Elephas maximus indicus: one gene and its partners. The protein of the gene in region 1 interacts with the protein of each later gene in a pairwise test. Links are inferred from orthologs where the notes say so. Each region holds a gene or a part of one and is shown on either strand. Other genes may lie near its edges.

Region 1 (3,747 bases):
TTGGTTACATTCTTGGAGTCGTGCAACCGTTCTCAGCCTTTTCTGAGTTGTTCCTCCCCCATTAACAAACTCACTGCCCCTAAGCTTCCCATCTAATCTTTCAAGTTGCCTGTTGTCAATTTGATCCCATATAGATAGTTCTTAAAAAAGCATAATGTCAAGGCTGGTCTTTTTTACTAGTTAAGCTAAACTATCGTTTGGTTTTAAGATGACTTCAGGGGATATTTTTGGTTAGGGTTTAAAGATTATCTCAGGGCAACAGTTTCAGGAGTTTGTCTACCTTCCATGGCTCCAGAAAGTCTACAGTCCATGAGAATTTGAAATTCTGATCAGCATTCTTCTATGGAATCTTTGTTCAAAATATTTAGTAATGGCAGCCAGGTACCATCTAGTTCTTCTGGTCTCACAGCAAATGAGGCAGTTGTTCATGGAAGCTATTAGCCCACATTCCATATCTTCCTCCTGTTCCTGACTCTCCTTCTGCTGTTGTTACAGGTGACTAGAGACCAATTGTTGTGCCTTGGATGGCCACTTGTAAGCTTTTAAGACCCCAGGCACTACACAACGAACTAGGAGGTAGAACAGAAGCACTAAACACGTTCTTAGGCCAATTAACTGGAGTGTCCCATGAAACTATGACCATAAACCTCCTAACCAAGGAACCAAATCCCGTAAGGTGTCTGGCTGCACATAAGCAGCTTTTTGTTGTTGTTGTTGTTAACATATCTATTATACCACTTTTGCCAATTCAACTTTTTACAGGTGTACAACTCATTGACAGCAATTACAATAATCGGCTGTGCAACTGTGCCCTTAATCAATGTGATTTTTCCCTCACCATTAACCTCCCCCCTTTCCACTCTTCCTCACACCCCTGGTAAAAACTAATAAATTTTGATCTCTATATGTGTGCCTTTCCTTGTCTTTTTATATATAAGTGAGGTCATACAATATGTGTCCTTTTGTGAGCTTATTTCGCTCAGCATAATGTCTTCAAGCTCCGTCCATATTATAGCATGTATCAGGACTTCATTTCTCCAACTGGCTGAGTAGTATTTTATTGTATGTATGTACCACATTTTGTTTATCCATTCATCTGTCAATGGGCATTTAGGTTATTTCTGCCTTTTGGCTATTGTGAATAGTGCTGCAATGAAAATTGGTGTACATGTCTCTTTTTGAGTCTCTGCTTTCAAGTCTTTTGGGTATATACCTAGGAATTGTTGGGTCATATGGTAGTTCCATTTTTAGTTTTTTGAGGAACTGCCACACTGTTTTCCACAATGGCTATACCATTTTGCATTCCAATAGCAATGGATAAGGGCTCCAATTTTCCCACATCCTCATCAACATACATTATTTTCTGATTTTTTTTTTTTAATCTAAGCCATCCTAGTGGGAATTAAATGGTATCTCATTGTGGTTTTGATGTGCATATCTCTGAAGGCTAATGAAGCTAAGCATCTTTTATCTTTCTTAGTTGGAAAAACCATCACCACCATGCAGGCAATCCCTGCTGTTAGCAAATCCCTCTAGAAGGCATGATGTCAAGCCAAGCCACATTCCCAGGGCCCTTAACACCACATCCCGTGACCAGCAAGCAGGCCCCACCTCCATCTAACTGGCAGTCACTGTGCAATTACCTCCGCTGGTAGGAGGTCTTGGAGCTCCACTCTGCCTGTTTGGAGCTGCAGATGTCAGACAGTTGAAAGTAGCGACGGTTCTGATCCCACTGCTGCCGAAGCCAGTCCGCCTGCTCTCGCTGCCGTGCCAACTGCTGACTTAGGAGCCGCCGGCTGCACCAGGAGGAGGGCAGTGTGGGCAGTGCCATCTGAGGAGAACAGCGATGGCAGGAAAGTGAGCCAACTGCAAACCCCAGGAACCCTCCCGAGCTCGGCCTCATCCCTCTAATCAATGGCTCTCGCCCCTGGCTGCACATTGGAATCGCCTGGTGGAGCTTTCAAAAAAATAGTAGACCAATTAAATCAGAAAATCTTAAGAGTGACGCCCAGGCAACGGCATTTTAAAATTGATTTGCTATCAGCACTGCAAATCGCTGACTTAAATAAATGTGGGCTGCACTGGCTGTGGGCCAGGCATTATCGGGGGCACTGAAGACAGAGACAGAGAACCACTCCTTGGGGAGGTTTATACCCTGCATAAAGTAACAGTGACAATCATTTAAGGAACATCTTAGGAGCAGTCTCATCCCTATGACCACCTCTGTTATTTGGTAGATAAGAAAACTTAAGTTTAAAGAGGTGACATGACTTGTCCGGGAACACTCAGCCAGGAAATGGAGGAAATAAAAGAGATGCGGTTCTAATTCACGTTGGTCTGAGTCCAGATTCCAGGCTCTGTCAACTGTGACAGGCTGTGTGTTGGAACCAAAATGCCCTGGCAGTCCCCAGACCAGGTGCTGCAGCTGAAAGTGCTCTGGGCCATCATGGAGGGCAAATCCCTAATCTCACAGATGGAGACACTGAGCCTCAACATCCACATCTGACAAGCGGGATGACAGCGGCAAGTGTCGGAGCAGAGTGAGGACGGGAATCCGGGCGCCCTGTCCTCGTGTCCCCAGACCAACCCGCGCTCCCGCCACTGCGGGCCGACAGCGGCCGGGACCCTGTCCTGGGCCCCACGCTGGCTCCCGGACGAAGCTAGCCTCCCGACTCACATTTCTCTGGGTCCTGGAGTTTCCCAAGCGACCCACCCAGGCCAAGGTCCCACAAGCCGGACAATCTCCCCGCAGGCCGCGCGGCACTGACGCCAGCCGTTTCAAAGTTCGTTGTCCCGGCAACGGGCCTGGCGACGGAGCGTCGCGAGGGCCAAGCCGCCTCCAGCGCGATACTGAGCGCGCGGAAGAAAGAAAGGCGTCTGTTTTCTCTGGCGCCTCCTAGTGTTGGGCGGGCGATCAAGAGCAATTGTCGCTTTTCAGAAAGCCCAAAACCAAACCCATCGCCGTGGGGTGGATTCCGACTCATAGCCACCCTATATGGCAGAGTAGAGCTGCCCATAGGGTTTCCAAGGCTATCATCTTTATGGAAGCAGGCGGCCACACCCTTCTCTCGCAGAGCGGCTGGTGGCAGCCTTTCGGTTAGCAGCCAAGTGCTTAACCACTGCACCACCTGGGCTCCTAAAGATCACTAGTCCTTAAAATAAGGAACGATGGAGGAAAAGAATCCGTTCAGTACACGGTAACCTAGGGGGATGAAGGTAAGGGTGGTAGGAAATCACGGGGATAGGATAGAGGAAAAGAATATAAGCCGCCTGACTGTACATGAGAATGACCTGGAGAGCTCTAAGAAATCCCGATCCCCAGACTAAACCCCAGACAAATCACTCGGGGGGGTGGATCCCGGGCATCAGTTTTTCCAAGCTGCCTAGGTGCGTTTGGTGTGCAACCAAGGCAGAGACTACCGATGTAAATAGATGTAGGGTACTGGTAACCTTCTATTGTTAAAAACCAATGAGTAGATCCCCAACTTTGAGTCCCTTCTCCCCATTATCCAAAAAAAAAGGGAACGATGAAAGAAAGCAAGAAGCAAAGCAACTCACATTTCTTGAACACCTGCCATGTGCCAGATGTTTTTAACATTTATTACCTTGCTGAAGCCTCCCTTGTTGCCTTCACTTTGCAGATGAGGAAACTGAGGCTCAGAGAAGTGAAGCAACTCTCTTGAGGTCACACAGCAAGGACAGGAGGCAGGATTGACACCCAGCCCCCTGAAGTTGTGAGTCTCCCAT
Region 2 (3,747 bases), on another chromosome or scaffold:
GTCCTAGGAGCTAAGGGAGGGCTCGGGGCTCTGGGGAGAGGGACCTGGCACCCATCCCATGCAAACAGGCAGAGGGGCTGGAATGCCCAGGAGTCTTACCCTCGCGGGAAGAATAGGACTGGCCAGTCGTTTGCTGGGAGAAGAGGCTGTGGGGGAGAAAAGGCAGAGCAGTTAGATGTGCTGGCAGAAGCAGGGGTGGGGGTGGAGTAGGGGGGGTGGAGGGTCTGTGGGGCAGGACTGGATCCCCACTCACTGGGCATCCTCGCCCTCCAGCAGGCGGCGGTAGGTGGCAATCTCCTGCTCCAGGCGTGTCTTCACATCCAGCAGGATCTGGTATTCCTGGTTCTGTTGTTCCATCTCGCAGCGCAGCTGTGCCAGCTGCTCCTCCACGCTGCTGATCATGTCCTGGATCTGGGCCAGCTGCATGCAGTAGCGGCCTTTGGTCTCCTCCAGACTGTTCTCCAGGGACGCTTTCTGCGAGTGGGAGTGAGAAACAGAGAGTCAACGGAGGTGTTTGTCTGTCTCTCCAGGTCTCTGGACATGTTTCCTGAGACGTGTGTGGAGTTTGAACCCAGGTGGGCTACTGACGGGCAAGTCAACAGGGAGCAAAGTTATTCCATCATTCTGGGCATGAGCTTCCCCATCTGTAAAATGGATACAATGATCCCTCCTGTCCCACTCCTGAGCAGGACAATGAGACAAAAAAAAGAAAAGGAAGAGAGGAATAGGAGTGTATTGTGGTGTTGAGAGGGTACTGGCCATTACTGATGACCTGGGGGATAGGGCAGGGCTGGGTCTTCCATACCATGCTGAGCTGGGACTGCAGCTCGATCTCCAGGCCTTGCAACACCCTCCGGAGCTCAGTCACTTCGGTTCGGCTGCTCTGCACCAGTTCGCTGTTAGAGGCCACTTCTCTGTTCAGCTCCTCAGTCTGAGACAGGAAAGAAGGGTAAGAGCTTTCAGATGCTCAGAGGTCTCCCCAGCTGCAAGGTCCCACAGGAGAGCTGAGGATCCGAGTCCCACCTTGCTCAGGAACCAGGCCTCAGCGTCTCTGCGGTTCTTCTCCGCGATTTGCTCATACTGGTCACGCATCTCGTTCAGGATGCGACTCAGGTCCACACCGGGAGCTGCGTCCATCTCCACGTTGACATCCCCGCCAGTCTGACCCCGCAGGATAAGCATCTCCTAGGGAGGGATGGCAAGAGTCGGTCAGCTCAGCAGGCCCCTGTCCTGGCCCCAGGTAGATCTAGCAATCCCACTAAGCCAGCCTCCCACCCCCAACGCCAGCAGGGGCCTCACCTCCTCGTGGTTCTTCCTCATAAAGACCAGCTCCTCCTTCAGGCTCTCAATCTGCATCTCCAGGTCAGTTCTGGCCAGGGTCAGCTCATCCAGCACCCTGCGCAGGCCGTTGATGTCGGCTTCTACACTCTGGCGCAGTGCCAGCTCATGCTCGTACCTAAGGGGCAGAGGTCAGAGCATCAGGCTCCAGCCCTGAGCGGACGGCCCCATTCGTTGCCCCTGCCCTCAGTCCACCACAGTAACTGCTCACTTGGTCCTGAAGTCATCAGCTGCCAGCCTGGCGTTATCGATCTGCAGAATAGGCTGGGCATTCTCAATGGTGGCCCTGATGATCTGGGTGGGAATGGAGGGACAGGAGGCCTGGTCAGTCAAGGACCTCAGTCTTGGAGGGCAAATGGCAGAGGGGGAGGAAAGGAACCTCCCCAAATCTGGGGGTGGCCTGGCTGGGAGGCCTTACACTCACCCAGCCACCCTGGGGTACCTTCTTCACCCATCTCAGGATGTGTAGGTGATACACCCCACATCTCCCTCCACCCTCATCCTGGGCCTGAGGTTGAGGGAAACTGAGTGTGCCATGCAAAGAACCCTCCAAGGGAATAAGAGATTCCAGGTTCCAGCCCCAGTTCAGACACATAGATGCTGAAAAGGAGCCATCTGCCACCAATTCTTGGTGACCCTTGGCCACCCCCCAAGTTGGGCTTCAGTTTCCCTGTTTGTAAAGCAGAGATGCTAGGAGTCAGTTTCCTAAGGGCCACTGCAGCCCTGGCCTCTCTCAATGCTTTGTGCACCAGGGCCAGCCACCTGGCCCACTCACCTTGTTCCTCAGGTCCTCGATGGTCTGGAAGTAGGGGCTGTAGTCTTTGATCTCAGTGGGCCGCTGCTTCTGGTACCAGTCACGGATCTTTATCTCCAGGTCAGCATTGGCCTCCTCCAGGGCACGCACCTTGTCCAGGTAGGAGGCCAGGCGGTCATTGAGGTTCTGCATGGTGATCTTCTCATTGCCAGAGAGGAGGCCGCCATCACCAGCAATGAACCCAGCACCAAAGCCACCACCAAAGCCAGCACCAAGACCACCACCGTATCCTCCACCAAAGCCACTACCCAGAGCCCCACCAAAGCTGCTGCTGCTGAAGCCACCGCCATAGCCACCCCCTATTCCGCAGGCTCCCCCAGAAGAGAAGCGGGAGGAGGTGACTGACAGACCCCCATAGGCACTGGGGGCCCGGCAGGAGCCTGCAGTCAGGACAGAGGAGATGCGGCCGGAGCCGCCGCCGATGCCACAGGAGCCCTTCAGGGAGCTGGAGGAGGTGAACTGGCGGCTGCAGGTAGTCATGGTGCCGAGAAGGAGATGAAGGAGAGAGCGTGTAGAATGCCCGGGAGGTGCTCAGGAAGGCTGAGAGAGGATGCTGTGGCTGCCTTGATTTGCTGGAAACTTTATATGCTGTCTGGGAAAGGCGGGGCCCCCATGACTGCTGACTGTAGGTTCTCCTCCAGATTTCATCACTCCAGGCTCGTCCAACTCCCCTCTCCGGATTGTTAAGCCTGGGGTCTACTCACTTCGCTGTCTGCTAGCTTAGGGTTCACACCCAGCTCCAGGGGGCGTGGGACTGAGAGAAGAACACACAAATGCCAAGTCGGTAGTGACTCAGGCTGGGTGGCTGAGACTCCCAGCTTTGGTTCCTGGAGCCCATGGGGCCAGCAGGGCCTCGGCACAGGCAGCTTTGCAGTGGCTGCGTCCCCTGGCAATGAGCCAGCTATCGAAAGGACTCTCTGCCCCACTGTGATGGCCTTGGCTGAGGGAGGCCTCAGCAGTGCCATCCCAGGGCTGTCTCCAGATACGGCTGTGGGCATCCTACAAGCCCAGCTCTAGGCACGCAAGGCAGGAGCTGGGCTCTAGGCCTGGTTCTGCTCTGCTCGCTGTGTGATCTGAGGTCCCTGCCTCCCCTCTCTGGGCCTCTGTTTCCCCTCAGTAAAGTGACCAGGCTGGACCAGGTGATCTCAGAGTCCTTTTAGTTCTGGTTCTAGAAATCCTATGACTCTCTTTCCCCTGCTGGATTCAACCCCACTTTCGGGGGCTACCTTTGAGCCCCCAGGATTGCCAAAAGTAGAATGTACCCTGGAAACAGCATGCACTTTGGATCAAGACAGGTGATAACTTAAATCCCTCCTCTGCCCCTTACGAACTGCACAGCTTAGCCCCTCTGGGCTTCAGTTTTCTCATCTGTAAAAGGGGAGGACACACCACCAGCCACATAGGAATGTACATGAAAGGCCCAGGCTGTACAGGGTTCAACAGTAGGCCCTCCCTCCCCCATGGCCAGCCCTGCCCCTCAGCCTCCCCATCCCTCCTTTCCAGCTGATTGGCCCCTCACTTGCCTCCTCACACCCCCCTCCGCTGCACTCTGTCACCTCCCTTTCATACCCCCACGCAGGCCCTGCTGTCTCCTT
Region 3 (3,747 bases), on another chromosome or scaffold:
CTGCTGCCCCGACATGTCCTGAACACCCTGCATCTCTGCTGGTCATGCCCTTTTATGGAATTTAGACTCCTCGAAAAAGCTGATGAAATGTGTTCATTATTCAACAAATATATACTGAATGCCTATCAACAATATGGTCCCTGGGTGGCACAAATGGTTTGCACTCAGCTACTAATCAAAAGGTTGGCAGTTCAAACCCACCCAGTGGCACCACAGAAGAAAGGCCTGGTGATCTGCTTCCATAAACACTACAGCCAAGAAAACCCTATGGAGCAATTCTACTCTGCACCACATAGGGTTATCATGGGTCAGAATCAACTTGACAGCAATGGCTTTTTTGTGTGTGTTTGTATTCAACAAATACAAACTGAGGCACCTTGACAGATGCTGGGAATACAAAACACAGTCTCTGCCCTCATGGAGCTTACAGGTGAGTAGGGAAGACAAACATTAATCAAATATTAACATCAATAAATGAATGTAAAATTGAAATTGTCATGAGTACTATGCAAACCAGATAACAGGAGGATTTGACCCAGTTGGAAAAGTCAAGGAGAGCTTTCCTGAGGGGTGATGTTCAAACTAAGATTTGAAGGAACAGTAAAAGTCATCCCAGCAAGGAGAAGCAACAGCCTTCCAGGTATGGGAAAAGGCGCTGGTATAGGAGTGAGCATGCGGTCAACACAGCAAAGAGAAGGCAGAGCCTTCCAGGTAAGAGAAAAGGCGTGGTATAGGAGTTAGTGTACAGGCATGGGGACAGAGTGCCAGGCTGTCCACATCCTGCTCCTAGTCCAATGCACCTGACATTTTATATTAAGATCTCAGAAACACTGACATCCTGAGATCTATGCATAGACCCCCAATACTGCTCTTCTCTCATGCAATGCTGATGGGAGTGCAAAATGGTATGGGGGGAATTTGGCAGACTCTACACATGTCTTCTCTGCGACCCCACAATCTCACTCTGGGATCCTAGCTCAAAGATCCTAGCTCAAAGATACACCTGTAAAAATACGAAACGACATATGCACGAGGTTATTTTGCACCACTGCTTAGAATAGCCAAAGACTGGGAAACTACTCAATTATTCATCAACAGGAGATCGATGATACACAGCAACACCATCAATTACTATGCAGATGTAAAAGAATGAGGAAGACCTCTAAAACAGGGAGGGACATTCAGGACATTAACAAAGCAAGGTGCAGCAAGTATATATAGCATGCCATCCTTTGTATTAGCAACAGCAGTGAGAAAGGAATGCCGTGTGTGTAAAAATTAAAAACTCTACAGACCAAAAGCAAACTGGTACAAATGAACCTAACTCCCCATCAGGTTGGCACTGGTGTCCTAACCACACAGGGAAAAGATTACAGCTGACTTTGGAACACAGTATCTTCACTGTACTTCTCTAAAAACAGAAGAAACTACAAAGATATCTCAACTTCATTTGAAGTGGAGTAACATAAAAGAGGGAAGGGCCTCCTGCCGCTGCTCCTCAAAAATAAAACACGCGGGAAGGGGGCAGGGTCCCTAATGCGGGAGATTAAGAGTAGGAACGGGTCCACGGTGTGCTGCAGCCCATCATCAGTGGGACTTGGGCGGGGCTCGTCACCTCACTTGGCATCTGTTCCCTGTCCACGAAATGGTGATAGTACCCATTTCACAGAGTTGTTGAAAGGAATGCTATTTTTCATATACACCAATAGGCAGCATCTTGGATCAAAAGAAGAAAGCCCCTTCCCACAGAAACAGCCGCCTCAAATCTGGAGAAGGTGCCACAAGAGACAGACTGAGATGCCTCGCCCAAACCAGGGAGACAGATCCAGGTAGGGCTGCCAGATTAAGCAAATAAAAATACAGGACACCCAGTGAAATTTGAATGTCAGCTAAACAGCGAATAATTTTGTATTACACTATATCCATTTCCGTCCAGTCGAATTCCGACTCATAGCTACCCTATAGCACAGAGTAGAGCTGCCCCACAGGGTTTCCAAAGAGTGGCTGGTGCATTCCAACTGTCGACCTTTTGGTTAGCAGCCGAGCTCTTAATCACTGCGCCACCAGGGTACTGAAATGTTTTTCGTTGTCTATCTGAAGTTCAAATTTAATTGGGCGTCCGGTGTTTTATCTGGCAAATCCCTACACAAGGCGCGCTCCCCGAGGACGAGGGAGGAAGAGGAGGAGGAGGAAGAGCAGCTGGCAAACGGGACCCCAGGTGCGGAGCTAACCCTCACATGGCCTTTGGGCGCCCCCTTAGCCCTAGGCTCCTAGCAACGTCTGTCAGAACCGCCTCTGCCCGCTGCGACCCAAGGAAAGTGGGACGAACCTTTCTCGGACCACTGCGCCTGCGTTCTCGATGCGCACGCCGCACGCACGCGCCGAACTCCTGCCGGCTATCCGCGTCCCGTCGCTAGGCAGCAAACTCGCGCACCCCAGAAGCCAAAGGGAGCGCGCCACAGAGAGGAGAAGCGCGCGGGTGGGTGAGCCCAGGAGCGCGCGAAAGGGCGAGGAGCACGACATAAAGAGGAGGCGGTGCGCACGCGAGCGCGCGCGGGGTGGAGGGATGCGGCATAGACACTGTGAGGAGCGTCGGAGGAGCAGAGGAAGTGAGCTGAGGGATTCTGGGAGAGGAAGGGTTGGTGGGCTCCGGGAGAAGCAGGGAGGGGCGCCTGCTTAGGGTAAGTGCTTTCTCCAGGTAGTCAACTCCACGGCAACTGGTTTGATTTTATGTACTAGTCACCATGTATTATCTCTTTTGATCCTCTCAATTTTTGAGGTACATTTGTTATTTCTCTTTTACAGATGAGGAAGCGGGAGCTCAGATAAACTGACTTGCTGAAGATCACAGGAGAACCAGGACTGGAACTTGGTCTGGTTCCACAGTCTACGTTCATACTGCCACCGTATACTGCCTCGTAAACGTATGGTGTTACAGGTCTTTGAACCTATTGGTTGGGACGGAACCCCTGCTGAGAGTTTGCATTCTTTACAAGTTCCCAGGTGATGCTAAAGCTGCTGGTTAGGGGCCAGTTCTAAGAGCCACTAGTAGAGCTGTGGTTCTCAAAGCTTATTATACATAAGAATCACCAGGGGATCTTGTTAAAATGTGGATTCTGAATCGTATACCTGGGGCCTGAACGAACTGGTTGGAAGCCAGTATGACCCAGGCTACATTACCTCCAGCTCTCGAAATCTGATTAAAAGTAAATCAAAGGGCAAGTAAATCAAAAGTAAATAAAGTAGTTTTCTGCTTAAGTAGTAGAAAGTGGAGTATAGTATTAGGTGTGGCAGCGCCCTTGACCAGCAGTAGCTGCAGGGCCTGTTAGTTTGCCTCCTCCTGCCCTAGGCTTCTTGTGAAATAAATAAGCCTTTGTATCTGTGGGTTTTATCTGTGTCATAGGAGCCCTGGTGGTGCAGTGGTTAAAGCACTCAGCTGCAAACTTAAAGGTCAGTGGCTCAAGCCCACCAGCTTCTCTGCAGGAAAAAGATATGACAGTCTACTTCCATAAAGATTTACACTCTTGGAAACCCTATGGGGCAGTTCTACTCAGCCCCGTAGGGTTACTGTGAGTCAGAATTGACTCAAGGGCAGTGGGTTCGGGTTTGGATCTAGGTCATAGGTGACTGTGGGTTCCAGTGTCACAAAACCACGGCTCCCTAACCCAAGGGTGTAAGTGTGTAAGTGGAGGCCTGTAGCCATCCCTAACCATCAATGTATTTCCTCTGAGGCCTGATGACCCCCTA

What was found.
Region 2: the proteins of TCHP (region 1) and keratin, type I cytoskeletal 16 interact in binary tests that used the Homo sapiens proteins (3 or more experiments, as listed by UniProt). The link is inferred for Elephas maximus indicus from reciprocal best matches to the Homo sapiens genes TCHP and KRT16.
Region 3: the proteins of TCHP (region 1) and DYDC1 interact in binary tests that used the Homo sapiens proteins (3 or more experiments, as listed by UniProt). The two-hybrid records come from large-scale screens. The link is inferred for Elephas maximus indicus from reciprocal best matches to the Homo sapiens genes TCHP and DYDC1.

Annotation. Positions count from the first base shown.
Region 1 is NC_064840.1:20,432,795-20,436,541, reverse strand, and holds the start of TCHP (trichoplein keratin filament-binding protein), read right to left. Parts: upstream 2,805-3,747; 5' UTR 2,678-2,804; intron 1,832-2,677; coding exon 1,644-1,831; intron 1-1,643. UniProt on the Homo sapiens protein: Tumor suppressor which has the ability to inhibit cell growth and be pro-apoptotic during cell stress. Inhibits cell growth in bladder and prostate cancer cells by a down-regulation of HSPB1 by inhibiting its phosphorylation.
Region 2 is NC_064837.1:48,668,399-48,672,145, forward strand, and holds the start of keratin, type I cytoskeletal 16, read right to left. Parts: upstream 2,633-3,747; coding exon 2,114-2,632; intron 1,633-2,113; coding exon 1,550-1,632; intron 1,457-1,549; coding exon 1,300-1,456; intron 1,186-1,299; coding exon 1,024-1,185; intron 932-1,023; coding exon 806-931; intron 475-805; coding exon 254-474; coding exon of another isoform or gene 250-253; intron 147-249; coding exon 100-146; intron 1-99. UniProt on the Homo sapiens protein: Epidermis-specific type I keratin that plays a key role in skin. Acts as a regulator of innate immunity in response to skin barrier breach: required for some inflammatory checkpoint for the skin barrier maintenance.
Region 3 is NC_064826.1:131,933,397-131,937,143, reverse strand, and holds the start of DYDC1 (DPY30 domain-containing protein 1), read right to left. Parts: upstream 2,416-3,747; 5' UTR 2,330-2,415; intron 1-2,329. Other genes in the region: DYDC2 (DPY30 domain-containing protein 2), read left to right, coding at 2,927-3,003. UniProt on the Homo sapiens protein: Functions as part of axonemal radial spoke complexes that play an important part in the motility of sperm and cilia. Plays a crucial role during acrosome biogenesis.